Linked DNA regions of Cricetulus griseus. The protein of the gene in region 3 purifies or fractionates together with the protein of the main gene of each other region. This does not show direct contact. Links are inferred from orthologs where the notes say so. Each region holds a gene or a part of one and is shown on either strand. Other genes may lie near its edges. The genes, in order: Polr1f, Uxt, protein POLR1D, Polr2h, Polr3e, DNA-directed RNA polymerase III subunit RPC10 and Polr3c.

Region 1 (4,260 bases), on a different chromosome or scaffold from region 3:
ATTTTGTCCCCTGGTGAAGGGGAAATGCTCACCATCTCCTGAGCAAATTGAGAACATCTGAAGAAGGGGGAGAAAGCTATGAGAGTGAGAAGGGAAGAAAAGGAAGGATGCAGAGGTCATGAGGAAAAAGAAATTTTGAGTCAGGTGTAGATTAGAAGAAAGGAGATATGATAGGTAGGATTTTAGTTGGGGGTGGTAGCGGAGGAAGGGAGGGAGAAGGGAACTGGGATCCTCATGTAATTCAATCTTGTTTGTAATTCAAATATATAAAAAAGAAAAAGAACAAAAAATAAAAAAGGGGGATGGAGAGATGGCTCAGAGCTTTAGAGCACTGACTGCTCTTCCAGAGGACTTGAGTTCAATTCCCAGCAACCACATGGTGGTTCACAACCATCTGTAATGAGATCTGATGCCCTATCCTTGTGTGCAAGCAGAACACTGTATACATAGTAAATAAATATTTAGAAAAAAATTAAATTAAAAAATAAAATAAAAAAAGGTAGCGTTGTGGATCCTAGTCTAAATGGCTGTATCTACAGTACAGTTCCACACCCAGTGCTTAGGTGTCTTTGCTGAAGAAGGTAGGGAGGTTGTAGAAGCCACGGGAACAGTTTACTTTGGACAGTGCTCTCCAAATGGAGCCTTGCTTCTTCTTTGAGTCTTCCTGCTAATTTGATTCATATTTAGGTGTACCACAAAGGCCCAAGGCCGATGGGGGGCTTAGCCACGTGAAAAGCATGGCAAGACACCCTCACAGTGATTTAGCAGAAAGAAGAGGGAAGCCAGATTGGAGAGATATGGTGGTTTTGGTTCAGATGTTGCCTTTTGAGATTTGTGGGCTTCTGTGTAGGACTGGGTTCAACAAAGGAAACACACTCCACTAATGCTTCATTCCTTAACTGAAAAACAGCTTCAGAGCATAAGCAATTATCAGGCAGCATTGCAACTGGAAAAGGGCATCCCGATTAAGGCTCAGAAAACCTTAACCAGGCGTGCATGCTTTTTATCGCAGCTCTCCTGAAGCAGAGACTGGGAGATCTCTTAAGAGATCTGAATCAGCCTCTGAGTTTCAAGCCCGTCAGAGCTACAGGGAGAGACACTATCTAAAAACAAAAAAGCCAAAACACACAGCAATAGTAATTTATTAGACCTTGGCCCAGCATTGAAAGCGACTGAAGAGACTGAAAAAAAAAAATCAGGCTATATTGGGCCTCTGCCTTTTTTAGTTCCTAGTATCCAGATCGCTAAAATCAAACTCCTCCCGGTAACAGCGCACACTTCCCAGTGAGAAATGCTCTACCTCTGCGGCCGCTTGTCTGGATTTGGGAACGAGCAGCTGCCCTCTGCTGGTCACACACGTCTAATGCAGCCTCCGGAGATTAAAAAAGTCCCCCCGCCAGGGCCGGTCGCTGGTTGATGATGTCATCGGGCGTCGGAGGCGGGGCGCGGACGCTGGCGTCAGCCGCGCGCCCCGGAAGCACCCAGCGAGCCGCATGGCTGCGGGCTGCGTGGAGTCTCCGCGGCCCAGGGCGGGCTCGGAGCGGCCGGCGGCGGGTCCGGCCGGGGTCGTGCCCTGCCTGGAGCTGCCCAGCTATGCCGCGGCGTGCGCGCTGGTGAGCGGCCGCTACTCGTGCCTGGCGGCCGGCCCGCACCGCAGGCACATCGCCCTGTCGCCGCGCTACCTGAGCCGGAAGCGCACGGGCATCCGCGAGCAGCTGGACGCCGAGCTCCTGCGCTACTCGGAGAGGTGAGGTCCCCGCGCTGCCGCCCTCCGGCGCCCCGCCGCGCCCTGCGCCCCTGGCGGGCCCCGGGATCCCCGCGCTGCGGACGGGCGGCTGCTGCTCGGCCTTCCGAGACGAGGATCCCGGGTCGCCGTCCGCGCCGGGGCCCAGCTCCTTCCTGACAGCAGCGGGAGCGGCTGCGCCCGCCGTGCACACAGCGCTCCCAGTGTGGCGACCCCGAGTGCCCGGGGTCCCGAGACCCAGCGGGCCGAGCTTGCGAAAGCTTCACTTAGCCCCTTCCGGGTGTGTTCTCGTTCGTAGTGCAGTTTTGCTGGCAGTATACCGGTTTCTTTCTGCGTCCTTGGAAGACAGCATATATAAACAAGTCGTTTCCTGGCAAAACCTAGGCGCGTTTGTTGTTTGCTTAGGCTCATCTCCCGAGGTTTTCTTTTCTAGGGCCCAATCGGGGAACGCATGGTGAATATCCCCCTTTGCCTAGTTCTGTTTGTAGGAACCGTTCTTTCGACACAAACAAAATAAAATTAGCATGTTTATATTAAGATGCTCAATTGCAACCTCAAAAACAAAATGTCTCAGAATTACATCTCGGCATTTCAAGCGGAAGTGGTAATGCCTTAGTACTTCATAACAAATTATTGTGGAGGGAGCGAGGTCCTAAGCCTGAGGCGTATGGATTCCCCGAGACATCATTGTCCTTCATTAATTCTGTGAAACTTCGGAGTTGCAGGGATTTCTGTGGTGACTGTTCTTAGGCAAATTATCTAAAGCTGTTACCACTTCTCGAGGATTTGGGCACAACCAACCCCATTACTGTTAAGCCCGCCTAGACTAAGCACTGGTACATCCCGTTATGTCTGTATGCCTTAGGCAGTTGGATAGAAAGACAAATAAAAGTAAAATCCTACTTTCAAAGAGCTTTGAGCTACTGTGGGGATATAAATGTAAGCTAGATCTAGAGAACTGTTAAAACTTGACAGACCTAAAATAAGTTGTATATAGAGAAGTGAAGTTAGATCTTGTAACTTTTGAGAACAACACAATAGGGTGGTAGTTAGATGGTGGCATTCCAACCAGCGAGTGGCATAGACAGATGGACCAGAGCATAGTAAAGTGTATCTGCATTGACGGTTAAGTCAGGTGAAACATTGGATGTCATTGATTCCTCAGTGGAGTTTCAAAGACTGGGAGGTGACTCAGAAGATGGTCATTATTGTTCTTTCCCTTCTGCCTTTGTCTGTCTGTCCCTCTGTCCGTCCCTCCCTCCCCTCCCCCCTTCCTGCCTGCCTGCCTGCCTGCCTGCCTGCCTGTCACTGTCTATTTTACTTTGTTTTTTTGTATTAGACCTATTTGTGTGCATGAGTGTTTTGCCTACTTGTCTGTATATGTACCATGTGCATGCCCGGAGCCCTCAGAAGTGGGTGGTTGTTAACCACCAAGTGGGTACTGGGAATGGAACCTGGGTTCTTTGCAGGAGCAGCAAGTGCTCTTAACTCCTGAGTCATCTGCTTGTGGTTCTTACAGTACAGTTGTTGTTTAATCCACTTATTAGCCTCCAACTGAGACATGGTACTCTCTTGAGAGGAGTAGTGCATGTCTGCAGTCCCTGGGATAGCTGCAATTTAAGAAACAATTTCGAATAGGTGATATTTTAAATAGAGAGAGGCAGTAGACAGAGATCAATTAGCAATTTTTGTGATTATCTAAGGAAAATGATTAGAAGTTTGAAAGATTTAAGAATATACAAGGTGATATTTTAAATAGAGAGAGGCAGTAGACAGAGATCAATTAGCAATTTTTGTGATTATCTAAGGAAAATGATTAGAAGTTTGAAAGATTTAAGAATATACAAGGTGATTATTAAATATGAAAATGCAGGCAATTATGTAGTATTGCCATTGGGGAAAAATTGAAGCAGTTATTATAAACTGATAATTTCTGTAACAGAATTGGATAATGCACCTGTGTAGAATAGAATATACTCTTAAGTTTATCTGGATACCTTCCTTTCTTGAAGGTATGCTTAATGAAACCTTTTTTCTCCCCCAGTACAGATTAAGTTTCAGTATTATTCCAGTATTAAGAGTGTTAATAAAGCAAGGGAGGGTAAAACCATTAAGAATGTTGGGAATTGTATTATAATATTAATTAACTATTTATCCTGTATAGTTTATGTTTTCAGACTTGTCCTCTAGCATTCATAGATCTGTATCCTTTTTAAATTGGGGGAGGGGGAGATTGAGACTCCTCCCGGACTCCCCTTTGCTTAAGTCATCTCACCAGCATTCCCTGCCTGACAGACTTGCCCTTCTTTTCTCAGTGGCAGGATTTTTAAGAAAGGTGTCCCATTTCAACTGTGGACTGTTCTCTTAGAGAAAGTGGTTTTCTAAAATCACATTATGACTTTTAAGTTGAATCTGTAAGAGGCCAGTTGTGGGGAAGTGAAATAAAACAAAGCCCATTCTTTTCCATTTGGCATCCTTGGGTTATTTAAAGATGTCAAATGCACTCTCTCCTAGTA
Region 2 (4,385 bases), on a different chromosome or scaffold from region 3:
ATAAAATTTTGTTTTACGTACTGAATGCAAGAATCATTTGGAAATGCATTCTAGATAGAGGTAAGTGTTCTAGGACCTTCAAAAGGGAAAAACATTTAGGGGAGTCTAGCATCTAGGTTATCCTCCAGGCTCAGCCCTTCACTTGCTAAACATTTAAATAAAAATAGAGAGAATTATTCACTCTTAACTACAAGTTAGCCCATCTTCAGTAGAGGACTCCAATGATGGACCATATAACTATGATGTGGGGTGATTAAGCACAGCATTTTGCCAGTCTCTGCCTAAGTCTGGATCATGGAATGCAAGCAACCAAGCAGAAGTCATCCAAGAACTTCTTAAAATTTGTGTCTGTTTAAATATTTTTTATGTGCTCCTGCCCATTCCTTTTACGGAGGATGAAACCCAAAACCATGTGTGTGAAATATACGTGTATGTTTTGGGGTTTTTTGTTTTGGTTTGGTTTGGTTTGGTTTGGTTTGGTTTTGGTTTTTCGAGACAGGGTTTCTCTGTGTAGCTTTGGAGCCTATCCTGGCACTGGCTCTGGAGACCAGGCTGGCCTCGAACTCACAGAGATCCGCCTGCCTCTGCCTCCCAAGTGCTGGGATTTAAGGCGTGCACCACCAACGCCCGGCGTATGTGTTTATAAAATAAGCAATATTCAAATTTACCAATTGCCACAGGATATACTGCCCTCTTTATAGATTAGTACCATAATCCTTACTAGTCTATAGGCAATCTTGTGCTTTTTAAATTATCAAATGCTTATGTGAACTCAGTGAGGTTTGTTTGTTTGTTTGTTTTGCTAAAGAGGACTTGAAGGTGGAAGGGAAATGAGGTAGGAGGGGTCTGGGTGGAGTTGGAAGGAGGGAGTAGGGAGTGGATATGGCAAAAATACATTGCATACATGTTATGAAATTCTCAAAGAATAGAAATGATTTTAAAAGAAAAAAAAAAAGGTGGGGACTACATAGATGGATCTATGGTTAACAGCACTGGCTATTCTTGTAGACGCCCCAGGTTCGATTCCCAATGCTCACAAATATTCAGTAGCTCCAGCTCCAGGGGATCCGACGCCCTCTTTTAGCCTCCACGGGAACTGCACGTACATAGTGCACACGCATGCAGACAAAAAAGATAAAATAAGAAAAAAAAAACAATTAAGACCGGCGAGAAGGCTACAGAAATGGTTCGGCATTTAAGAGCACAAAAGGTTCTTGCAGGGGATGTGAACTCCGTTACTACCACCCACATCATGGGAGCTCACAACTGCATTTAACTCCAGTACCGCTGCCGCGCTCGCTCAAACATGCGCGCGCGATTCAAACAAGCTGTAAACGATTTACTCCCTCTCCCTACCTTCCTGTGCGTCCAACCTCCCTCAGAACCCGGCAAAGCTCATTAGACTTCACCCGAAACAGCTACCCGCGGCTGTCAACCACTAGCCGGCTAGCAGACAGCCCGCCCTCTGACTTCCTAGTATTCTCCAGGGTTTCCTTAAGATCCCGCCTCAGCGCTCCACTTTCAGGCGGTCTCCTCTCATTCTGGACCGCCCCTCCATGCTGGAAACACGTCATCCACCCGCGCCACCCGGAAACCGCGGTTCATTCTAACCTTAGGTGGCCCTAAGGTAAGCACGGCGCTTGGGTACCGGTGAGTGACTGCGTGTTAGAGTCGGGTTGGGCAGAAGGAGGAACCCCGTAGCATGAGCCGAAAGAAGTCATACCCAACGTTAAGAGGTTGGAGAGAACTTTGTGAAGTTAAACAGGAGCACTCAACGTGGTTTTTCTCCCTCCTCACTCCCCAGGAAGCCTATCATGGCGACACCCCCGAAACGGCGGGCCTTGGATACTGTAGGAGAGAAAGTGCTGCGGTACGAGGCCTTTATCAGTGACGTACTGCAGCGAGACTTGCAGTGAGTGACAACGCAGATTCTAGGCGTGACATTTGAGAAATTCCACGTGGTGGGTGGGACAGAATCCCGGGAAAACTTTCGGATTGGCCGGGAAGAGGGGTTGACGTCCGGGCTGCGATTTGGTTGGAACTTGGCCCTTGTAGTGGAGCCTCTGGCGTCGTTCGTCGGATTAAAATAGTCATAAAAACCCACGACATTTCTGACTGGGCCATTTAGCCATTACTTATGAAAAAGTTGTACATCACCTCTCCTCTCTGTGCTTTATAAACTTTGCTCATCTGTGGAATGGGAAAGTTTATGGAGCCTTCTTAATGTGGTGGTTTTGAGTTTTAAATGTGTCTACCCAGGTAAAGAATGTAACCCAAAGCCTAGACTGATAACACAGGACTGTAATTCCAGCACGAAGGAGGCAGAAGCAAGAGGATCTTCGAAGTTGGAGACCAGCCTGGAATATAAACTTGACTGTCTCTAAAAGGGGGAAAAAATTAGAATGAAGCCAGGCTCAGGCTCTGTGGTGCATGTCAGTAGTCCTATCTAGTGGAGAGGTGGAAAAATTCATTTCTTTAGCCAGGATGTTCAAGCCAGCCTTAACAGTAGAACATGGTTTTGATAAAATAAAGCCCAGTGTTGTGACACAGGCTTGTAATCCCTGTACTTGGGATGGGTGAATCAGGACGATCCAGAGCTCAAGATCATCCTCAGCTATATTTCAAAGATGAGTACAGCCTAGGCTCTGAGACTGTGTCTCAAAAAAAGAAGACAATGGAGCCAGCAAGATGGATTGCCTTGCTTCCATGTCCTGAGCTAGCTCTCTGGGATCCACATAGTGAAAACAAAAAAACTCCCAAAAGCTGTCCTATGACTCACATGGGTGTACCACGGCACCCATACATGTACACAAAATAAATACATTAAGTAAGAATACTTTTTAAAACTTTACATAAACCCAACTATACTACAGTTGTATTAAGGCTGAGAGGAAAGAACTGTCTTGTGTACTCACAAGTAGCCTGGGAAACTCAGTTCTTGTCTCAGAAAATAAAAAACAAATAACCTGGATAGTTTTGAAAAGGAATTTAGCTCCGGTGGATGAAACATACTAAAAACTCAATAATTAGATGATTAGTATTGCTGTCATTATTAATGTGAACAGAAAGTTTGGAACTAGAGCAGTGTGAGCATGGAAGGTATGTGTAGGGTGAAGATGGAGCATTTTAATTGGCATAAGGCACTGAGTACAATGCAGTATTTGTAATAGTGATGGATAGAAAGGATACAGTGTTTACCATTTGGCTGGCATTTTATAGTAAACACTTGAGTCTAATGGTTCCTATGAGGTAATACTGTCATCTCTATTTTATATGTTGTGAAACTAAGTCCCAAATAGGTTTCCTAATGCCAAAGTCACATTGCTAGTAAGAGTTAGAGCTCAGGATGAAATACAGTCTGACTTGTATTTATTGAAATACTTGGTGTGTCTTTCTCTGTCTATACTATGCGCTCGCTCGCTCTCATGTCTCCGTGTGTGTGTGTGTGTGTGTGTGTGTGTGTGTGTGTGTGTGTGTGTGTGTGTGTGTGTGTGTAACACAGGATCTCACTATGTAACCCAGGCTGGTCTTGAACTCATAATCTTCCTGCCTCAGTCTTTCAATTACTGGGATTACACTCGTGAACTACCATAATTGGCTTAAAATGCCTTTTAGGCCATGATGTGAGATATCTCAAGAGGAATAGGGCTGCCTAATGATCACTCTTCTATTTCCACGTATCAGAAAGGTGCTGGATCATCGAGACAAGGTATATGAGCAGCTGTCTGTATACCTTCAACTGAGAAATGTAATTGAGCGACTCCAGGTAAAGGCTTTTAAATTGGGTATCAGTTTGTATATGTGTACAAAGAAGGAAGATGGGAAGAGAAACCCCAAAACAAAACCTTTTTCCTGCCTTAAAAATTGGCCACTGACACCTACTTCTTTTCTCCTGGCCCTACAGGAAACTAAGCACTCGGAGTTATATATGCAGGTGGATTTGGGCTGTAACTTCTTCGTTGACACAATGGTGTGAGTGTATTCCCTCCCCTCCGAGTTTCTTCCTTCTTTCATGCAACAAGTATTTCTTAATATGTTCTATATACCAGACTCTGGTCACTTTTATATTGCACTAGGATGTAAGCTACATGCTGTGGGTGTGAAGTGAATGAACATGAAATACCGGCCCTTACAGAGCCTTAACTTTAGGGAACTGGAGGGAATAGGAAACACCTTCAACTATACAATGTGCTAAATGGTAATAAAGACTTCCTCCACTTCCTCTGACTTCTTTCCTCAGCCCAGATACTTCCCGCATCTATGTGGCCTTGGGATATGGTTTTTTCCTGGAGTTGACACTGGCTGAAGCTCTCAAGTTCATTGACCGAAAGAGTTCTCTCCTCACAGAGTGAGTTCATTCCATGAGAATAGTGTCTAAAACCACC
Region 3 (3,101 bases):
ACCAAAATGTGTGTTTGTTTTGTTTTTTGTTTCTTGGGTTTTTTTTTTCCTTTCAAAATGAAAATGAGAGAATCCATAGCCATTTACTAGACAACTCACTAATATGGAAGGTGGGAACACCAGAGGGAGGGGGGTCCCCAAAATGTTTAAGACGAGGCAAATGCTGTGCTGAACAAGTACTCCACACATTTAAATATGACAGACACACATAACCTAGCTTTTTGGGCAGTAGTGAAATAGTTCATGTGGCACTAGCATGTGCTTGCTTTCATGTTGGTTCTCTAAGAGAGCACTGACTGACTGACTGACTGACTGGATGAGAACATGAATGGACTGGACTTCACATGCTATAGGAGTGCAAGAGTCTCGCTGTTTTTCCCTTGTAATTGGTCATGTATAGTCCTATTCTCCAGACTCAGCAGCCACCATCTCCAGACCATGTATATTTAAAAGTAAGTATAAGGAAGCAGTCTTGTCTAAGGGATGAGTTTGAGAATGGAACATCAAGTCCAAAGCTGTGTGAGCACTCCTCATCCTGGCCACTTAGAAAACACACAGCGTGGTGGAGTTTTATCAGGATGGCCACTAGTCAGACTGTGAGCTTAGCCTTTGACATCTAAAAGAGGAAAGCATAGCATTTCTAAGTATTTTATTTTGAGAAATTCTGGGAAATGACCACAAAAAGTGCAATACATCAAAAAAACTGGGACTAGTTTTTAACAACCTGAAAATTTCAAATTCTAGAACTGCTTGTTTTGAAATTAACTTGCAAACAAGACAGGATAAAGCAACATGGATGTGCATAGCAAAGCTAAGTCATCTTCCACGACACCTTCAGGACAAGGGCTTGTTTTAGTAAAAGTTTTTTTTTTTGTTTGTTTTTGTTTTGTTTTTTTTTGTTTTTTGTTTTGTTTTGCCTGTTAACAACAACAATGACACAACAACAGCCATCTTAAAACAAAGGACCCACTGGAAAGTCATTCTCAGGTGTCAGAGTCCTGTCACCTCCCTGTCCTCACTGCACCCAGTGGCAGGCACAGTACTGGGCTGGCCCTGCAGCTTGCTCATCGCCTGCTGGTTCGGTGGTCCCCCTTGTCCCTGGAGGCCCGCTTCCTTGGGGGTGAGCCTCGGGCTGAGTGCAGGCTGCGCTTAGACGAGCGGCTTCTGTGCTTCTTTGAGTTTGTCTCTTTCTGGTCTTGACTCTGGCCAGGTTCCTTGCTGCCCTCTTTTTGTTCATGTTCTTGCTCTTTATGGGAGGGCAGGGTGTTCTTAATTGTGTTAATTAGGAATCTTTTATTTGTGCCAGCAAGAGGACACTTCATCCTGTGGAGGAGAAGAGGGAAGAAGAAAACATAAACAAGAGAGTTAAAACATGAGGTGCTGGGGCAGGAGGACTGCCATGAGTCTGAGGCCAGCCTGGGGCATGTAACAATTCAGGATGGAACAGCAAGATCATAGAAAGACAGTACAATGGCCCTGTGTCTGAACATTACAGTGTTACCTCAGGAGACTCTGCAGACACCACCACAGCAGGGTCACCTGACACCACACCTTGGCTAAGGCAGAATTGGAGAAAAGTCGCCATAGTCTAAGTGACAAGCAACCAGGGAAGCAATCGCAGGTGGAAGTGCTTCATTGTACTTGTAGCTGGGGTATCTCCATCCAGCAGAAGATGAACAGAGGCACACAGCGCTAAGGATGGCTGGCCACTCAGGAACACAGGACAGTCACAGCATACACAATGTCAGGGCAAAGAAGCATCACTTGACTCTAAGTCCAGTAGGTCTGGGGAATGATGATTTACAGCAGACAAATGCCTTGGTCATGAAAACAAGGCTACATGAAGGGCAGCCCACTGTCCACTAGTCCACAGACAAATGCATGCCCACGCCAGTGACAGGGATACATCTGCTCCACATAAGCCCTTTATACTCTGGATGCTACAAGACTAGAAGGTCGCCTCTGGAAAGACTGAGGCAGAGGCAAGTGTGTCCCCTCCCCATGCAGAGAGGTGATATTTATCTTGATGCTATGGTGATTACAACTCATGTTGTTGTTTAATGCAGCCACAGCTACCATAATCACCCATGGCAGCTCAGTTTACAACTTAGCAATCAAGTGCCTCAGCATGTGGCCATCTGAGAAATGATACTCCTTAATTACCTTTCATTCAACACTCCCAAAGCTTACTGTGTCCCCAACACTGTACCAGAAAGTAATGTGAAACAGTGGGTATATGTGTGCATGGGGGAGAATGTATGTATATAAAAGTATTTATTCATTTTCAAAACCCGAGTCTCTCCCATCTATGGGACATCACATTAGGCCTATGTAGCAAAGACAAACCCGGCTATCAGTGTGCGTATCTCCGCTATGTGGGAGAAGCCTGAGGGGAACAGAGGCAGGAGGGACATACACAGGTTAGCTGAGACCAGCGGAAGGTCTCCTGTGCCGCAGCACACAGGCCTTTGTCCAGACCATGATCCCACAGGAGCACATGCAGATTCCACAGGAGCACATGCAGATCCCACAGGAGCACATGCAGAGCCAGTAAGCACCACAGAGCATTCCCAGGCAGGAAGAGAAGAGCAGTGACTTGGTACAGAAGCAGATAGCACCTGGTTTCAATCCCTCAGCAGAGTCTGCTGGGGGTGGGGATGAAGTCTCAGGAAACTTCTCTGGGCCCCATGATCTTGAGGTATAAAGTGAAGGTTTGGATTTCTGCAGTCCTGAAATACTGCAAAGGGCAGTATTTTTGTAACAAACACACACCCTCTCAACCTCCTCACTGAACTGGGATCACCTCCTGTTGTCTATCTACCAGTGCATGCCAGGCCGCCTGAAATACCTAAGGCAAGCAGCAAGTCCAAATGGATCTGGGAAACAACATGTCTGCAGAGACCGGGGGAGTGATTTGCTTTCCAGTAATCAGGCATTCCCAGCAGTGCTGGGGATGTAGCTGAGCAGTGCGTGAGAAGCCCTGGGTTCAACTCCCAGTGCTCAAAGTAAAAAGCTAATGGTGTAAAATACAGCCTCATATTGTAGGTGCTTCCCTCTCTGTCTCCAGACTGACACTTCAGGAAAGCACCAGCATTTACCAG
Region 4 (4,479 bases), about 15 Mb from region 3:
CGCCATCTCGGTGCACTGTCCTCTTGCCTCCCTTGGCTTCTCGGGCTCTGGCCTTGACTCAGCTCCCGGCCCGCTGAGCCCGCGCCCGCACCCGTCCCGTCCCCTCAGCCCCGGCGGCCGAGTGCAGAGTGCGACGGTCCCCGGGCGCGCGCCGCAGGCTCAGCCTCTCGCTAGCGTCCCCTCCTTGGCGGGCGGGCCGAGGGCGGTGCCCTGCTTGCTGCTCCGCCCTGGCCCATCTGCAGGGGCGTCCGGTCGGGCTGGGGTCTGCATTGGAGCCGCCTCCTGGCCTCCGGAGAAGCGGCAGGGGGCGCTTGCAACGCGATCTTGCACCCCTTCTCTGGGGAGGCCGGGGGCTGACCCGGCCCCGAGAGGGTGCGGGGCCGGACGGGGGCGGGTCCGCTGGCACGTGGAGGGGACGGGCTCTCGGGCGGCTGCAGCGTTGTGCGGGAGGGGCTGAGGATGTAGTGACTCCAGGGCTGGGGCAGGGGGCTGCTGACGAGCTATCTCGGGCTCTCCAGGCCAGACTCGACTGGGGCAGCCTCTGCTTCGCGTTTGCTGGCGGCTCAGACGGGTCTGGGAGGATTCCTGAGAGCCCGCTCCCTTATCGCCTCCCTTCCTCCTTTCTTCTTTTCCTCCGGGTTCCCCCGGGAAGGTGCACCTGGAACTGCTAGGCCTGGAGATCGGGGCGGAGGTGGAGGTGGGAGGGGACGGGAAGGGGTGAGGCCCGAGGGAAGGGAGCTATTGGTGCGGGGGAGGCTGCTCCTGGGAGGCGGGCGTGGGGGAGCAGAGGTCGCTCCTCCCAGGCATCGCTTAAAGGGGGAACTTGAGTAGCTGCTGACGCCTCGAGGAAGCGGCCCAGTGAAGCTCTACGTTGTCTTTCGGGATCCTTGGAAGGATAAGAACAGTGTGGCGTTGGCACAAAGAGGATGGACAGCGTTAGGTTGGTGCCACTGGAGAGGACGGTGCCCAGAAATCCGTGTAGAAAGAACAGCATCAGGATGAAGACTCATTCAGCAAACAGAGGGTGGTGCTCAAGGGGAGCGTACGGTGCCCAGTACGGGGGCTGCGATGAAAGGAGATAGCACCTGGAAAGAGCGCGCTGCGAGCTGTCGTTTCCCAGGGAAAGGCCAGTGTCGGGTGGAAGCGCACTGGATCAGTGTCCAGAAGAGGGTAGTGTAGTGGGGTGACAGGCAGTACCAAGTTCAATTGGCAGTGTTCTAGGGGATCAGAGTTAGTGCCAAGCAGGGCCAAGGGAAGACCGGCGTGGCGAGGAGGTGAAGCCCCAGGCGAGGGCACAATGCGGGCTTTCCTTTCCCTGACAGTGACATCACGGCAAATTCCCAAACCGGACGGACCCGGCTCGGGTGACGTCTAGCTGGTCAGAGCCAGCTCGGACCAGCGTGGGGAACCTTGGTGGCCGTCCGAGGGGCTGGGCACTGCGTCCCGCTGGGCGGGCGCTCTGCGGGTGGAGTTCGGCTTCACCCTCCTGCAGCACGGACTGTGCCCTCGGCGGGCACGCGGACCGCAGGGAAGGGCTAGGGCCGGGCTCCCTCTGGGCCAAGGATCAAGGTTCCTGGCTGGGTCCGGTCCCGGAGCCTTCCAAGCATCGGGATCCGGGGTCTGAAGAGGGCGCCCTAGAGCCGGGCGCATCGCGGTACCCGCCGGGGGTGGGACTTAGTCTGTCCCCGCCTTGGGCGGAGTCACCGCGCTTTGAGACTCGCCCACAAGGTCCGAGCCACTCCGAGGTGGCCTTTCCCGGCGGAAGTGAAGGAGCCCCGAGGGGAGGCAGCGGAAGTGGCTGCGTTGCTGAAGCCTGTGCGCATGCGCCCTGCGGCTGGTTGCCGCTTTTTGGGGCGGTACTCTGCCCTGTCTTCTTTTCTCCACGTGAGGGGGTGCGCGAATTCCCAGTGGTGGCCGCGCGCTCCGCACCTCTGCAGTTCTCGTGCCCCTTACGATGGCGGGCATCCTGTTCGAGGATATTTTTGATGTGAAAGACATTGACCCAGAAGGCAAGAAATTTGACCGAGGTAAGGTGTGTAGGGGAGGTGAGGAAGAGGCCAAACATGCCCACCCACCCCAAGTGGCCCGTCCCACCCTCTCGGTACCTCCCTCAGGAAACAGTGTTTTTCATAATGAGAAACTTGGGACAGCTTTTCCTATGATGTTTGCGGTGTCTGGTGCCTCGGTGGCCCTTGGCTTTGGGGTTGGGAAAGCCCTGGACACCTTTCTGACTCCTTATTCAGTATTACGTGCTGTATGTACCGTGCGCCTCTCTCGCACACTTAAGTATTGTAGTAAGAAGTGATGGTGCCCGATCTATTTTGTTACTTAAGGCCGTGCAGCGAGTTACCTCCCTGTCTTCCTAACCCATAGTTTTGTATTGCCCCAAGAATTGTTAGCCCTTTGCCGAGTCCTCTATAAATTTCATGCAGCTGACTGCTTGGTGTATTCATTTCCCAGTAATCCGGAAGTTGTTTCTTCTCAGTGTCACTTTACCTGGAGACAGACCCCCCCCCCCCCAATACAGATTCTCTTTGTAGCTCTGGCTGTCTTGGAACTTGCTTTGTAGACCAGACTGGCCTTGAACTCAGAGATCCACCTGCCTCTGCCTCCCAAGTGCTGGGATTAAAGGCGTGCCCCCCCCATTTTTAAAGACAGGTGTCAGTTCTCAATACACCCTGCCTATTCCCTCCGCAGAGTGCCTACTAGGAAGTGGGGATCTCTGGACTAATGACTATCTTGTTCAGAGTTGAGTTTAGTCTAAATCATCCAGGTGTGCTTAGAGCCTAGAGACGGGTTGCTGCCAGAGAAGTTCTGCTTCTTTCTTGGGATCCTGACACTTGCTGAGGTGTTTACTCCCTTTCTTCTCTGAATCTGATTTGGATTGCACTCTGTGTCTGTGTCCCAGAGCAAGGCTAATGGCTGTGGACTAGTTGAAAGATTTGTTCTCCTGCATTCGACCCCGACTCTGTTGCCTGTAATTATGTCTGTCGCTCTTTCCCAGTATCTCGGCTGCACTGTGAGAGTGAATCTTTCAAGATGGACCTCATCTTAGACGTGAACATTCAGATTTACCCAGTGGACTTGGGTAAGTGTCCAACACAGGAGCTAGCAAGTGAATTTTTTTGTTTGTTTGTTTGTTTTTCGAGACAGGTTTTCTCTATGGCTTTGGAGGCTGTCCTGGAACTAGCTCTTGTAGAACAGGCTGGTCTCGAACTCACAGAGATCCGCTTGCCTCTGCCTCCTGAGTACTGGGATTAAAAGCATGTGCTGCCAACGACTGGCTTTAGCAAGTGATTTTTATCTTTGGTTTCCGCTTGATGCTCTTTTCAGGTGACAAGTTCCGATTGGTCATAGCTAGTACTTTGTATGAAGATGGTACCTTGGATGATGGTGAATACAACCCCACAGATGACAGGCCTTCCAGGTGAGGCGGTGGTAAAGGAGGGACTAAATAGATAAGTAGTACATAGAATGGTCTTTATTTTACTGCTAGAAAAAGACATTACTGCACTTAGAATTCACACAACCAGAACTGGGTGTGATGGTTTGTGTCTGTAATTCCAGAACTCGGGAGATGAGGCAGGAGGATGAGGAGTTCAAGAACACCATTGGCTGCACATCAAATCTGAGACCAACCTGGGCTGGAGACCCTGTCTCTAAAAAATTTGAAAAAAATTTCAAACAACTGGCTTGATTACTTAGTGAGAGCAGTGAGTGGAAGCTTGTGAACTGCAGTTGTTTATTTATTTGAGACAGGGTCTCACTTTGTAGTCCTGGTTGGCCTGGACTATGTAGACCAAGCTGGTCTCAAACTCACAGATGACATCCACCTCCTCTGCCTCCTCAGTGTTGGAATTAAAGGTATGTACCACCACACCCTGCAAATGTAGCTTTTTTAAGGCCTAGAAAATGATTACATAGTAACCTAGATTTTGGTGTGACAGAAAGACTGTGGAGTATTGGGTCTGGTGGTACACACACTTAATCCCAGCATTTAGGAGGCAGAGGCAGGAGACCTCTGTGAGTTTGAGGCTAGCCTGGTCTACATAGCCAGTTAGGACAGCCATGACTATATACTGAACTTTTACTTCTCAGCTCCACTACTTCCATCTTCCATTTCCTTATCAATAAAGTACAGACAGTCATTTCTAGTTCACTGAATTGATGTGAAAGCCAAATAAGGTTGCGCTTCCATGGCATTTGTTGTTATCAGTTTCTATTTTAATTATTTCTATCTTTTTGGTTTTTCGAGACAAGGTTTCTTTGTGTGGCCGTGACTATCCTGGAACTTACTCTGTAGACTGTCAGGCTGGCCGAAAACTCACAGGCCTCTGTCTCTGCCTCTGCCTCTGATTCCTGAGTGCTGGGATTGTGCCACCATGCCTGGCTCAGTTTCCATTTTTAAATGTCTCTTACACTATTGATTGCTGTGAAAAGTAACTTTGCCTATTGTTTGTAGGGCGGACCAGTTTGAGT
Region 5 (3,766 bases), on a different chromosome or scaffold from region 3:
CTTACAGGGGCAGGTTCAAGCCCTTCTTCCTTTGCCAGGTGAACTCCACCTGACACCTTTACATGGCATCCTACAGCTTCGGCCCAGCTTCTCCTACCTGGATAAGGCAGATGCCAAGCACCGTGAGAGAGAGGCAGCCAATGAGGGTGAGCCAGCTGACAGTCTGTGGTCTGGGTGGGCTAGGTTGGGCCTAAGAAATTGGTCAGATTGTGGGATGATTACTGGCACTGTAGACTCCTACCTACTGAATGCCCCTAACTCCACATTTAGGGCAACCAAAAATGTCCCCACAGATTGTTAGACATTGCCTAAGAGTTAAAGTTAAGACCACAGCCCAAAAGCCGCAGACCTCCCCCAACCTTGGCCTTCCTGGGGAAGGGTGGTGTTGGAGTGGAATGAGCAGTCCCAGCAGAGGCTGTACTGATAGCTTGCTTTGCAGCAGGGGATTCTTCTCAGGACGAGGCAGAAGAGGACGTTAAGCAGATCACGGTGAGCTCTGGTCCTGGTAGGAGGGAACATCATGGATGGCAAAAGACAGCAAGAGCTACAGAATCTGAGCAGAACGGACTTCCCCATCCCTGAGAATAACAGTCACATAGTATTGTTGAGTCCCCTCATCTGCTGCCTGGAGGGAGTAACCTGCCCCCTGCCCAACCTGACTCCTGTTGTAAATAGCATAGCCTTGTTCTGTGTAATAGCTGGGATCCTGGGGCGTGGCAGGTGTTACCTGGGAACAGGGAGGTACAGCCTAGGAGCCCCATGAAGCCACACAGGCTCACAAAGTTCCATGTTAATTACCTTTATGATTCTGCCTTTTTGATGGGTACAGAAGAGTGGTTAGCATGCTAATCTTGACTTTGAAAGATTTAGAAGAATATTAGCTTTCCATTCATGATTATGAAGTTCCTCCTATTTATGCATTATTCATGTATATGTAGCTTACAATGAGCATGAAAGAAAAATGCTGCTCAATAATGGTGCAGCAGGCATGGAAATGGCTATAGAGTTTGCACATCTTGGTGGGCTGTGCTCTCCTGAAGTGATGTGGCAGAGAACTTAAGCCTTGTCCTGTTCTCAGCAGCTTGTTGGGTAGCCTTTAAAACTTCCTGGGTAATCACCCTCATCTGAAAAGGTATGCTTTGTTACCCCTGTGGCCCAGCTGGAAAGCCGTGGCCAGGGTCAGCAGAAGCAAGAAAACAACACTCATCTTGCAATGGCAACTCACAGACTGAATTTCAAAAGCGAAGAGGGAGGTAGAATGCAAGTGCTATGAAGTGTGTGCGTGTGTCTGTCTGTCTGTCTGTCTGTCTTGTCTGTCTGTCAAGAGCTATGGGGGCCACAGACCCGAGGATGTGACCTTTCCCCTCTCCACAGGTGCGATTCTCTCGACCAGAGTCAGAGCAGGCCCGCCAGCGCCGTGTGCAGTCCTATGAGTTCCTTCAGAAGAAGCATGCAGAGGAACCTTGGGTCCACCTGCACTATTATGGCGTGAAGGTGAGCCTGGGCAGGACCTGGGGGAAGAGCCTGATGCCAGGTAGCTGCTTGTCTTACCTTTCGCTTCACAGTGTGTTTGGGCTACTTGGCTGTAGCATAGAGAGCATGAAGGTACTGTGAGCAGTTGGCAACTTGTCCACATCCACTTAGTAGGTGTCAGAGTGGGAGCAGAGATCCTCTGTTACAGTTTAGGGCTTTTAGCCCCCTAGCTGTGCATGCAGTTGGGCTGGCGTTTGGTTAGTTTTGTACACACCATGAATGCTGATTGCAGATAGATACTTCATCTGGGGTCGCACTAAAGAATCTTCTATCTGTCACATATTCTCAGGTTATTGCCTACCTATTCAGGACAAGTTTTAATATTCAGTTTTCAGGGCTTTGTAGCCTAGTACCTGATGGTACACTGAGTAAAGGAAGTAATTGGACATTGGTTCCTAGGTGCCTGGAATACAGCTTCCTGATCTTTGCAGGAAGGACCAGTGGAAACCTTCAGGAAGAGATTAGTATGGGGAGAACCTTAGATTCAGGGTCAGACTTACATACACTACAGCTTCTTCCTGTGTAGCCCTGGGGAAATTGCCTTCCCTTTCAGAGTCTCAGTTTTCTTGTCTGTGAAACAGGAATAGTAAGAGCCCTGTAGAGTTAGTTACTATGTGAGTAAGCATTGGTACCCAGCCTGGCACATAGCAGTGCTTAGTGAATGCTAGCTCACTTCTAGTCCTTGCTGGTGTTTCTGCATTATAGACACCACATTGCAGAGGCTTTGGGTATGCTGTCTTCAAGACACTGCATATGGGCCTGTGGCTGGCCGTGGAGCAGGTAGTGAGTGGCTGGAGTGGGGTCATGATCTGTTTTGCCTTTTCCCCACAGGATAGCCGTTCAGAGCATGAGCGCCAGTACCTGCTGTGCCAGGGATCCAGTGGGGTGGAGAACACAGAGCTTGTCAAATCACCCAGGTGGGACTGGCTGGTGCTCACTAGAGGCTATGAGAAAGTTTCTGTTGGAACTGTGGCCCATTATCTGTGTGGGCAGGGTAAAGGAGGGACACTGTCCCTGGAGAGGTCCCAGGAGAGTGGCCTGGGATAGGTGATCCTTATGTTCTATAGGGCTGTTGTCTAGGAGCTGGGGACTATTGGGGATGGGAAGAATGAGCCTCTTACACTTCCCCAAGTTTCAACCTGGTTGTGGTCTGTGCTCACATGCAGGGGTGAGGCAGAGTTCACAGAGCCTCTGACACCCCTCCACCCCCACCCCTTACAGTGAATACCTCATGATGCTCATGCCACCCAGCCCGGAGGAAGAGAAGTGAGTAAGGGCTGTCTTCCCCACCTCTCCCAACCCCCAGTATCTCCCACTACCTCCCACTGGCCTTCTCTAACCACTCACCCCTTCTTCTAACAGAGACAAGCCAGTAGCTCCCAGCAATGTCCTGTCCATGGCCCAGCTGCGCACATTGCCCCTGGCTGATCAGATTAAGGTCCTGATGAAGAATGGTGAGTGCTGTTCTCTGCATCAGGGCCAAAGCCAGCAGCCCCTGCTCCCTAGAGTCTGCCCAGCTTGGCAGCTCCATTCTTGTCTGGGCAGATCACATAATGCACCACTGTGTCAGGTCACCCAGGTGGGACTGGCCCTTCAGGTGGGCTTTTGAGCTTTTGCCAGCTGCCTGCCGCAGAATTCTGAGCAGGTTGGCCTGAGCTTTGGTCAGGCCAACTAGTTGGAGGTTCCTGGACCCTGATGGGGCTGAGCACAGTCTCACACGGGATGTGAAGTAGGACTGTTTCACTCTTGGTGCCTTACTGGGCTCCACACAATAAGGACTAGCTCCTTTTTCTCTTAGGCAGAGGCACAGATCCTTTGGGGGCTGAGTCCCAAGCTCTGGGCTTCTCTGAGAAGCCAGTGTAAATAAAGCCTTAGGCCTAGTTGGGGGTGGGGCTCTCTGCTGAACTGTGCCATTCCTGGGCTACTGTAGGGGATTCTGGACCTTCCCCAGGCTTTACCCTGGGCTCCCCGAGGCTTCACAGGTAGTCTGGTTTCAAATCCTGGCTCTACCTTTTCCAACCAGCTGATGTGGGGGAGTTTTCAACTCTTTTTGGACCTAGTAATGACAGACTCTTCTCCGTACTCCTTGGTTTCCCATGTAGATCCTCACATTTGTTCTGTGAGAAACACAAACCTGGCATACAGTTCGCCATCAGCTGTGATTATTGCTGGGCACTGTTGTCATTGCTCACACTTCTAGGAGTTTTGGGAGCTGGGAGCTTGATGCTCTACA
Region 6 (4,464 bases), on a different chromosome or scaffold from region 3:
GGTAATCTTGGCTGACACGAAGTTTTTTCTTATTTTTAAGAACTTATTGTTAATTCTCAAATCACACGTTATAAACCACACAGTAAATATATCTTGGTTAGGTTTCTATGAACAAAAGCAACTTGGGGAAGAAGGTTTGTTTGGCTTACAGATCACAGTCCATTGTTTACTGAAGCCAATGCATACCAATCACAGTTCCCCTCCTTCCTCTCTTCCCGCTCCTCCCACCTCCCATCCACCACTCCTTGGTTCAGAAAGCCGCGAACTTCCCATGGGCGTCAACAAAGCATGATATATTAAGTTGAGGCAGGACCAAGCTTCTCTCCCTGCATCAAGGCTGGGTGAGGCATCCCAGCATCGGGAACAGGTTCCAAAAAGCCAGCTCATGCGCCAGGGACAGGTCCTGATCCCACTACTAGGGGCTTCACAAACAGGGCAAGCTAAACAACTGTCACCCACATGCAGTGGGCCTAAATCGGTCTGATGCAGGCTCCCTAGCTCCCACTATCTCAGGTCAGCTGTTTCTGGGTTCCCCAAGTTACGATCTTGACTCCCTCTTACTCGTACAATTCCTCCTCCCTGACTGTGGATCTCTGCATCTGCTTCCATCAGTTACTGGATGAATGCTCTCTGGTGACAATTAGCGCAGTCACCAATTACAGGAGAAGGCCAAGTGCTCTTAAGCTGAACCATTTAGCCCCTTCGTAGTGCTTTCCTATTTCACGCATGACCTTCGGCTTAGTGGTGGCACCGCCCACAACGGGCTGCGTCCACTTCTATCAATTTGCATTCAAGAAAATGCCCCATTGAGTTACCTACTTATAAGTCTGATAGAGACATTTTCCCAATTGGGATTCCTCTTCTAGATAACTAACTTGTTAAAGTTAATAAAACAAAACAAAAACAAAAAACCCACAGGAGTCACCCCAACCCCTCCCTGTGTAGGTTATAGAATTCTTGCAGAGGATTAAGGAGGTAAGACATTTAAAAGAGGTCTGAGAAGGCAGAACTGGGAAACGTAAAGGAGTCTATAGGAATGAGACAAAAGAACCAGATGGAGGTCTGTGGAGAGGAACTGCTGGTATTGTAGGTCAGAGTTGATCTGTAGAATTGAATCTAGTGAAATGGCATAAGTGAAATAAGTGAAATGGCAGAACTGGGACCAGGTGAAGAAATGGTCAGATTGGAAAGATGGTAAGTACAGATAGACAGGTATTCATACGTTAGGCAGACAGCAGCAGAGAGGTAGTATCAACACTAGGGGCTGAATTAAAGTCCCTGGGACATTAGGTTAGTCTCTGCCTGTCAGTCCCGGCTCAGAAGATGCGAAGCAGCCGGTCCTGCGCCACTGTGACAAGACCTTCCTGAACACGTCCATGGCTCGGAGTGCGGCACTGTCTTCTCATCACCTGTACCTCCCTCCGAACCTTATTCCCGGGTAGGTCAGGCGTGTCAGCTGCCAGCCCCATCTCTCGGGCCATTTAAGCCTGTGCTTGCGTCAGGGAGATCCGTGCGCACGCGCAGGCATTACAGGAAAGCTGGGAAGGCAGACAGCGCACTATTGGAGGGTGGGAAGGACTATCTGCGTTGACCAATGGCATGTGAGAGCTGCCTGCCGCAGTGCCTTCTGGGTACGTGCCAGTGGCCGCTTCTATTGGGCGTCTGCGGCCGCGGAAGCTTTAGACAGTAAGAGCTTACTTGTTGGATCTGCAGCAATGTTGCTTTTCTGTCCGAGCTGTGGAAACGGACTAATTGTGGAGGAGGGACAGCGTTGCCATCGTTTCGCCTGCAACACTTGCCCCTACGTGCATAATATCACACGCAAGGTGAGTCCCAGAGGCGAGCGCCTCCTCCACTGTCGGTGCGCTCAGACTTCCTGCGGGCGGTAGTTTTTTTTTTTGCTCACCTGTGGAAGTACCTCAAGTTCAGTAGTTGGTAATCCAGTGGCATCGCTCCGGCCAAATCGAAGCCACTCTTCTGGTCACTTCAGAGATTTCTGCCTCTGGCTCTCTGCTGCCGGTTTTGTGACACCCAAAAGGTTGCGAGATTTCCGTTTTACCTCTAGGCTGAACCACGCCTTTAAAACCTACAGCTGTCCTCCGCACGCCAGGCTCCAATACGCTTATCACCTTCTCTGATCTCAAATCTTAATGTTCTTTTTGTGGCTCTTCTTGCTCCCAGATCCTGTCGCTATTCTGGAGGATCTTACCTCCAAAAGTGCACGCAGTACTGTTAGCTCCTTCACGTTCCTTTCGCCCGAGTTTTCTTTCCCAACGAGCCATTTGGCGCTCTCTCTCTCTCTCTCTCTCTCTCTCTCTCTCTCTCTCTCTCTCTCTCTCTCTCTCTCTCTCCTCCCTCCCTCCCTCCCTCGGTGTGGGTATGTCTGTCTGTTTCTCTCTTCCTTTTCCTTTATCTCTCTCCCTCTCCCTCTCCCTTTTGGCTGTTGGTACATGCCTATAATTCCATCACGTGGAGAGGCTGTGGCAGGAGATTAAGTTCAAGGCTCACCTGGGCTGCATAGCATATGTATATGAAAATTAAGTAAACGAAGAAACCAAACCCAGCTCTTCCAGTTTATTCTCATTCCTTTTTCTTTTCCCAGGATTCATCGTCTTCTAATATATGTCATTGTTGCTGCTTTGTGTGTGTGGTGCTTGTGTTGGAACCCAGAGAAGCTGCTTTTACAGCCCTTTGTATTGTCTACCTTTCCATTCTTGTTCCTCCTTAACTCAGTGTCCTGAGTTCTGTGATTTCAGATGTGTATCATCAGGCCTTGGTGATACCTCATTTTTAATGTTTGCACTTAAGAGCTGTATGGTAGGAGTTTGGAGTCTGGATATGTGATAAGATTGAATGGTGACATAATTTTTGAAAATTGAAGGATGACTAAAGCAACGAAATGTGTCCCTGGGAATGCTGGGATACCCAGATAAATGGTGCTATTAGGCTTTTGTCTGTCTTTCATGTTGGGTTATTAGGGGTATGAGAGAAGAGCATGGTTTAACTCAGCTGTCTTCCTGCACTGTCTGCTGTTTCCTCCAGTTTCTAGGGGTCTCTGACATTGAAACTGTGCTGTTTTGGGAATATCTCAGTCACAAAACCCCTACATTTTAATGGCTCTTGTCGCTCTTTGAAGAAGATAAATTTTGTATCCATTTACTGAGTAGAGGAAATGCTGGAGGAAAGTTATAGTTTGGTGGCCTGCTTTTAAAACTATATGATTTCTTAAAATCTGATGACTTGTTTTTGTTAGGTAACAAACCGAAAGTATCCAAAGCTGAAAGAAGTGGATGATGTGCTTGGTGGAGCAGCTGCCTGGGAGAATGTGGACTCTACTGCAGGTGAGAATTTTCCCATTACAGAGCCAGTGACTCAACCCTATTTATTATTACTTATTATTATACTTAATAATAATAAATTTATTGTTATTTATTATAATGCAACCCTGTATATTGTTAGGACCAGTAAGATGGCTCAGCAGGTAAAAGCACTTGTTTCCAAACCTGTTAACCTGAGTTTGATACTTGGAGCCCAGATAGTATAAGGAGACAGCTGATTCATGAAAAGTTGTTTACCAACTCCCACCCCCTCAACCAGTAGTTATAAAAGAATTTAAGAAAATATAAACAATAATGACAAATAGCTTGTGTTTGCCAATACAGGAAATATTTTGATATGTTGTAGTCACAATATAGTCATTCTTTAAACTCTAAGCAAGGCATTAAGACCTTTTTGTTTGTTTGATTTTGTGTTTTGAGACAGGGTTTCTCTGTGTAGCCCTGGGTGTCCTGGAACTCTCTCTGTAGACCATGCTGGCCTCGAACTCAGAGATCCATTTGCCTGCCTGCCATGTGATAGGTTTAAAGGCATGTGCACCACCACCTGGCCATATTAAATTTTTTTAAAGCAGATTTCTTTCAAGGATTAAATATACTGAAAGGAAAATCACCATATTGATACCTGCTCTGTTGTTTCATTTAGATTCTCAGGACAGATATGGGCAAGTATAAGTAAAAATCTGGTACATATTCTCTTCTTGAAACAAATTTGGGGTTTATTACAAAAAAGTTTCAATGTTGATTTAAACTTAAATATTGATGGTTGTTGAGAGGAGGCGAGAGGTGTAAAAGGACAGTTGTCCATGCTCTAGTGGGTACAGGCTTCTCAAGAGAATTCTGTTGTATGTATTTTCAAATACCAATATTGTAAAAATGATTAGCCCTAGTCTTTTTTTATTTTTAAAAATGTTTATTAAATTAAAAACAATAAAAAAATCTTATTTTACATACCAATCCCAATTCCCTCTCCATCCTGTCCTTCATTCCCCCCCCCATCTCCTCATTCCATCCCCTATCTCAAAATAAAACAAAAGCCTCTACTCATTTTCCACTTTCAAGGCTTTTGCTTATTTTTGAGATAGAATCTTGCTGTGTAGCTCAGGCCAGCCTTGTAGCAAGCCTCTTG
Region 7 (3,766 bases), on a different chromosome or scaffold from region 3:
AAACTCATGAAATTTACAAGGGTCAAATTTACAAGGGTCAAAAACTCAGAAAGCAGGGCCTTTAATCATAGCATAGGGAAACAGAGGCCAGCCTGGTCTACAGAGCAAGTTCCAGACCAGGCCCTGTCCAAACAAATCAACCAACTACAAAAACTTAGAAATAATATAAAGTATAATAACAAGACTTAAGTAAGTGTAATTATAAAAGTAATAGAAATGTAATGTCTAAAATGCTAAGGCTTTCATGAGAAAGGCCAGTCTAGCTTTGAACTCCTGAACTCAAGCAATCCTCAGCATCTTTCTAAACAGGTAAAATTCATGCATGTGCCAGCACACCTGGTACTTAGATTCTTAAAACAATTAGAAATATGTTGTACTTGACAGATATTTAACTATAATAATGGCTTAACACTTTTTTTGAGACAGGGTTTCTTTGTGTAGCCCTGGCTGTCCTAGGACTTGCTTTGTAGACCAGCTTGGCCTTGAACTCAGAGATTCACCTGCCTTTGCCTCCTGAGTGCTGGGATTAAAGGCATGTGCCACCATGCCTGTTTTTTTTTTTTTCCTAATTCCCTTATTCATATATATGTTTTGCCTGCATGAACGTATGACCAGTGTGTAAACAGCAACCAATGAAGTCAGAAGAGGGAGTAAGATCCCTTTGAACTGGAGTTACAGACTGTTGTGCCCTGTCTTGTGTGAGCTGAGAATTGAGCCTGGGTCCTCTGGAAGAGCAGTCAAGTGCTCTCAACCACTGAGCCATCTCTCCCACCCCCATTGCTTAACATTTTAAAAAGCTGGATCCTAAGTGGCCAAACAGTCTTGTGCTTACCATTTCCAAGAAATCTTTGCCCTATTCCAACAACAGAAACTCCTTTTCGCCTCCAAAGCACAGGTATCAACACAACCCTACAAGTTATTTCTAATAACTGTTATAATACCTATGTTTATCAGAGAGCTAGCACAAAAACAGCTAAACCAGGAGTGGTGGTGGTGCAGACCTCTAAGTGAAGCACCGGGGAGCAGAGGCAGGTGGGTCTCTGTGATTTCAGGGATAGTAGGGCAACCTAGGAAGTTCTAGGACAGTCAGGGTTACATTGAAAGACCAAAACAAAAACCCAAACACAGCACAACAAAACAAAAACAAACAAACAAAAAAAAAAAAAAAAAAAGAAAAGAAACAAAAAGGAAATTGAAGTGTACCTCATTGGAGGACAGGGGCTGGGTAAATGGGGCACCCGAGGGAGTGGTTATCTCACTCATCCGGAGCATTGTCCGCACAATCTCGCTACTTGTCTGGAAAGGAAACAAGAATTCAGAATTCACTGTTGATGCCTCTGAGCCGCTGGCCACAGCTAACAACCACCTGAATAATTGACCTTACTTCTTGCTCAACACTGGCTGAACCACTTAGATGTTACCTGGTCCATTCGGTTTGCAACTGCGCTCACAATTGCTTGGTCACGGAAGTGCTGGTGGAATCTGTCAAGGTTGACTTGCCAATAAATCCCATCGTCTGGAATGGGCTGAGGTGAGAAAAGGATTAGAGAGAAACATTGAAATACAGTGCAGGGGCTGCAGAGATGGCTCAGAGGTTAAGAACACTGACTGTTCTTCCAGAAGTCCTGAGTTCAATTCCCAGAAACCACATGGTTGCTACTTCAGATTGTGTTCTCTCACTGGGTCTTGGGATCCAGATCACATCTGTAACGTGATCTGGTGCCCTCTTCTGGCACCACTGTATACATGACAAATAAATAAATAAATCTTAAAAAAAAAAATTAAAAGAAACACAATGCAGTTTTCTAGTAAGCTTAGATGTTAAAGTTCCATTTGTTTTGAGATACTGTAGCAATTAAATGGGTTAAGAGAAAAGGAAATCAAGAGTGTGAACTAGTGAGTGTGTCCTGACACATTCACTTCAAGTCCCCTGAATTCAACATCTTCCTTCTCCCTGGTAATTCCTCTCCATTACCCTCAAATCTCTCACCTGACACCTCCCTTACTCTCTGCAGATGACTTTCTCCTTGATGTCACAGGAAGAATAGAAGCCAGAACTCATCCAACATTGTGAAAACCACCTCCTTTCCTTTTTCCCTCTCTCCCAGGAAAATGCTTGTCTTTTTACCTAAGGGCATTGGCCACAATGCTACTTCAGATTGTGTTCTCTTACTGGGTCTTGGGATCCAGATCACATTTGCTTCCTGTCCTTTAAACTTGCAGACTTTCCTTTTTTACTTTCTTCTCATCAGCTTTTACCCTGTTTGTCCCTTTCTAGAAGATTTCCCCTTCCTTCCTTCCTTCCTTCCTTCCTTCCTTCCTTCCTTCCTTCCTTCCTTCCTTCCTTCCTTCCTTCTTTCCTTCCTCCCCTGCTCAAGTCTCTTTCTAGAAGGATTTCCCTCCAACCCCTTTCCTCCCTCCTTTCCTTTTCTTCCTAGCTATACTTTCTGGCTTTACTCAACCTATCTTCACTTCTATATGAAATTTCAGTTGTTACTGGAATTCCAGTCCCACTATTGTTCACAAGGGCCTTCTTTTTTTTTTTTTTTTTTTTTTTTTTTTTTTCCCCCGAGACAGGGTTTCTCTGTGGCTTTGGAGGCTATCCTGGAACTAGCTCTAGTAGACCAGGCTGGTCTTGAACTCACAGAGATCCACCTACCTCTGCCTCCCGAGTGCTGGGATTAAAGGTGTGGGCCACCAATGCCCGGCTCTTATTTGACTTTTTTTGAAGTATGTGGCATAATTGGACATTTTCTCAACTTACCTCCTAAGTACAGGGACTAGAGCTTTGTGACACCATGCTACTTTTTTATTTTGAGACAGAGTCTTTCTACATAGCCCCGGCTATCTGGGAACTTACCTCCAACTCACAGAGGTCCACCTGCCTCTGTGCCTGCCTCTGTCTCCTGAGTGCTGGGATTAAAGGCATGTGCCACCACAGCACAGCATAACATTTCTTTCTTTAATTCATGTTATGTATGTGTGTCTGCCAAGGTGGCCAGAAGGTGTTGGCTTTCTTGGAGCTAGAATTATAGACACAGGGGCTAGGAGTCACACTCTGACCCTCTGGAAGAATAGGAGGTGCTCTTAACCGCTATCACATCTTTCTAGACCATAGGCATCTACTTTTGTTAACTTTTTGAGTCAGAGTCTCTCCCTGGGTTTGAGGGCCAGGATGGCTGGTAAGCCCCAGGGACTCTCCTGTGATTTTTGGGTCGGGCCATATCCATAGTCTGAAGATTAACATTTGCAGATCACATTTGTAGATTTTAATAGTCTTTAGCTTGGCTTTCTTCTTTTTTTTAGACAGGGTCTCATGTAGCTCTAGCTAGCAAGGAACTTACTATATAACTGAGGGGGACCATGAACTCCTATTGGCTTCAGTGCGTATGTGCACAGGCACGGGTACCAACACACGTGCACAGAACCCCCTCTACACACACAAAGAGACAACATGGTCTCTTAGACTAGGGATATAACAGGAATGGTAAGAAATAGCTAGATAGGAGGTAATTTTGGAAACTGGGCTAATAGGGATTAGTGAGATAGAAGAATTTCAAGGAATTTTGCCTAAACTCACGGCAGTAGGCATCTGTCACTAAGAAAAGGCAGCTTAGAAGGGGGCAGGTCTATGGGTATGAGAAATCAATTATTCTGTGTTGGCTATGCTACTTTCTTTTTCTGGAGTGTATGTGCTTAATTCTATGTCTATGTACGAGTGTATGATGTGCGTATGCATGTGTGGGAGTATGTGTGCTATAGCATG

What was found.
Region 1: the proteins of protein POLR1D (region 3) and Polr1f purify together in Homo sapiens (affinity purification with mass spectrometry; 3 studies listed by BioGRID and IntAct, counting the BioPlex papers as one, with this or other methods). This does not show direct contact. The link is inferred for Cricetulus griseus from reciprocal best matches to the Homo sapiens genes POLR1D and POLR1F.
Region 2: the proteins of protein POLR1D (region 3) and Uxt purify together in Homo sapiens (affinity purification with mass spectrometry; 3 studies listed by BioGRID and IntAct, with this or other methods). This does not show direct contact. The link is inferred for Cricetulus griseus from reciprocal best matches to the Homo sapiens genes POLR1D and UXT.
Region 4: the proteins of protein POLR1D (region 3) and Polr2h purify together in Homo sapiens (affinity purification with mass spectrometry; 4 studies listed by BioGRID and IntAct, with this or other methods). This does not show direct contact. The link is inferred for Cricetulus griseus from reciprocal best matches to the Homo sapiens genes POLR1D and POLR2H.
Region 5: the proteins of protein POLR1D (region 3) and Polr3e purify together in Homo sapiens (affinity purification with mass spectrometry; 3 studies listed by BioGRID and IntAct, with this or other methods). This does not show direct contact. The link is inferred for Cricetulus griseus from reciprocal best matches to the Homo sapiens genes POLR1D and POLR3E.
Region 6: the proteins of protein POLR1D (region 3) and DNA-directed RNA polymerase III subunit RPC10 purify together in Homo sapiens (affinity purification with mass spectrometry; 3 studies listed by BioGRID and IntAct, with this or other methods). This does not show direct contact. The link is inferred for Cricetulus griseus from reciprocal best matches to the Homo sapiens genes POLR1D and POLR3K.
Region 7: the proteins of protein POLR1D (region 3) and Polr3c purify together in Homo sapiens (affinity purification with mass spectrometry; 3 studies listed by BioGRID and IntAct, with this or other methods). This does not show direct contact. The link is inferred for Cricetulus griseus from reciprocal best matches to the Homo sapiens genes POLR1D and POLR3C.

What each region holds. Positions count from the first base shown.
Region 1 is NW_023277425.1:46,407-50,666, reverse strand, and holds the start of Polr1f (DNA-directed RNA polymerase I subunit RPA43), read left to right. Parts: upstream 1-1,458; 5' UTR 1,459-1,493; coding exon 1,494-1,747; intron 1,748-4,260. UniProt on the Homo sapiens protein: Component of RNA polymerase I (Pol I), a DNA-dependent RNA polymerase which synthesizes ribosomal RNA precursors using the four ribonucleoside triphosphates as substrates.
Region 2 is NC_048604.1:125,813,239-125,817,623, reverse strand, and holds the start of Uxt (protein UXT), read left to right. Parts: upstream 1-1,533; 5' UTR 1,534-1,627; exon of another isoform or gene 1,628-1,804; 5' UTR 1,805-1,814; coding exon 1,815-1,912; intron 1,913-3,684; coding exon 3,685-3,766; intron 3,767-3,904; coding exon 3,905-3,972; intron 3,973-4,240; coding exon 4,241-4,348; intron 4,349-4,385. UniProt on the Homo sapiens protein: Involved in gene transcription regulation. Acts in concert with the corepressor URI1 to regulate androgen receptor AR-mediated transcription. Together with URI1, associates with chromatin to the NKX3-1 promoter region.
Region 3 is NC_048597.1:82,963,480-82,966,580, reverse strand, and holds the end of protein POLR1D, read right to left. Parts: intron 1,324-3,101; coding exon 1,065-1,323; 3' UTR 633-1,064; downstream 1-632.
Region 4 is NC_048597.1:67,932,090-67,936,568, reverse strand, and holds the start of Polr2h (DNA-directed RNA polymerases I, II, and III subunit RPABC3), read left to right. Parts: upstream 1-1,612; 5' UTR 1,613-1,954; coding exon 1,955-2,027; intron 2,028-3,004; coding exon 3,005-3,088; intron 3,089-3,333; coding exon 3,334-3,427; intron 3,428-4,462; coding exon 4,463-4,479. Other genes in the region: Clcn2 (chloride channel protein 2), read right to left, coding at 1-6. UniProt on the Homo sapiens protein: DNA-dependent RNA polymerase catalyzes the transcription of DNA into RNA using the four ribonucleoside triphosphates as substrates.
Region 5 is NC_048596.1:79,721,301-79,725,066, reverse strand, and holds part of Polr3e (DNA-directed RNA polymerase III subunit RPC5), read left to right. Parts: intron 1-38; coding exon 39-146; intron 147-439; coding exon 440-489; intron 490-1,374; coding exon 1,375-1,494; intron 1,495-2,364; coding exon 2,365-2,450; intron 2,451-2,754; coding exon 2,755-2,799; intron 2,800-2,895; coding exon 2,896-2,987; intron 2,988-3,766. UniProt on the Homo sapiens protein: DNA-dependent RNA polymerase catalyzes the transcription of DNA into RNA using the four ribonucleoside triphosphates as substrates.
Region 6 is NC_048599.1:60,459-64,922, reverse strand, and holds the start of DNA-directed RNA polymerase III subunit RPC10, read left to right. Parts: upstream 1-1,635; 5' UTR 1,636-1,715; coding exon 1,716-1,826; intron 1,827-3,253; coding exon 3,254-3,341; intron 3,342-4,464. UniProt on the Homo sapiens protein: Core component of RNA polymerase III (Pol III) which synthesizes small non-coding RNAs using the four ribonucleoside triphosphates as substrates. Can mediate Pol I proofreading of the nascent RNA transcript.
Region 7 is NW_023276806.1:59,778,378-59,782,143, reverse strand, and holds part of Polr3c (DNA-directed RNA polymerase III subunit RPC3), read right to left. Parts: intron 1,527-3,766; coding exon 1,422-1,526; intron 1,297-1,421; coding exon 1,204-1,296; intron 1-1,203. UniProt on the Homo sapiens protein: DNA-dependent RNA polymerase catalyzes the transcription of DNA into RNA using the four ribonucleoside triphosphates as substrates.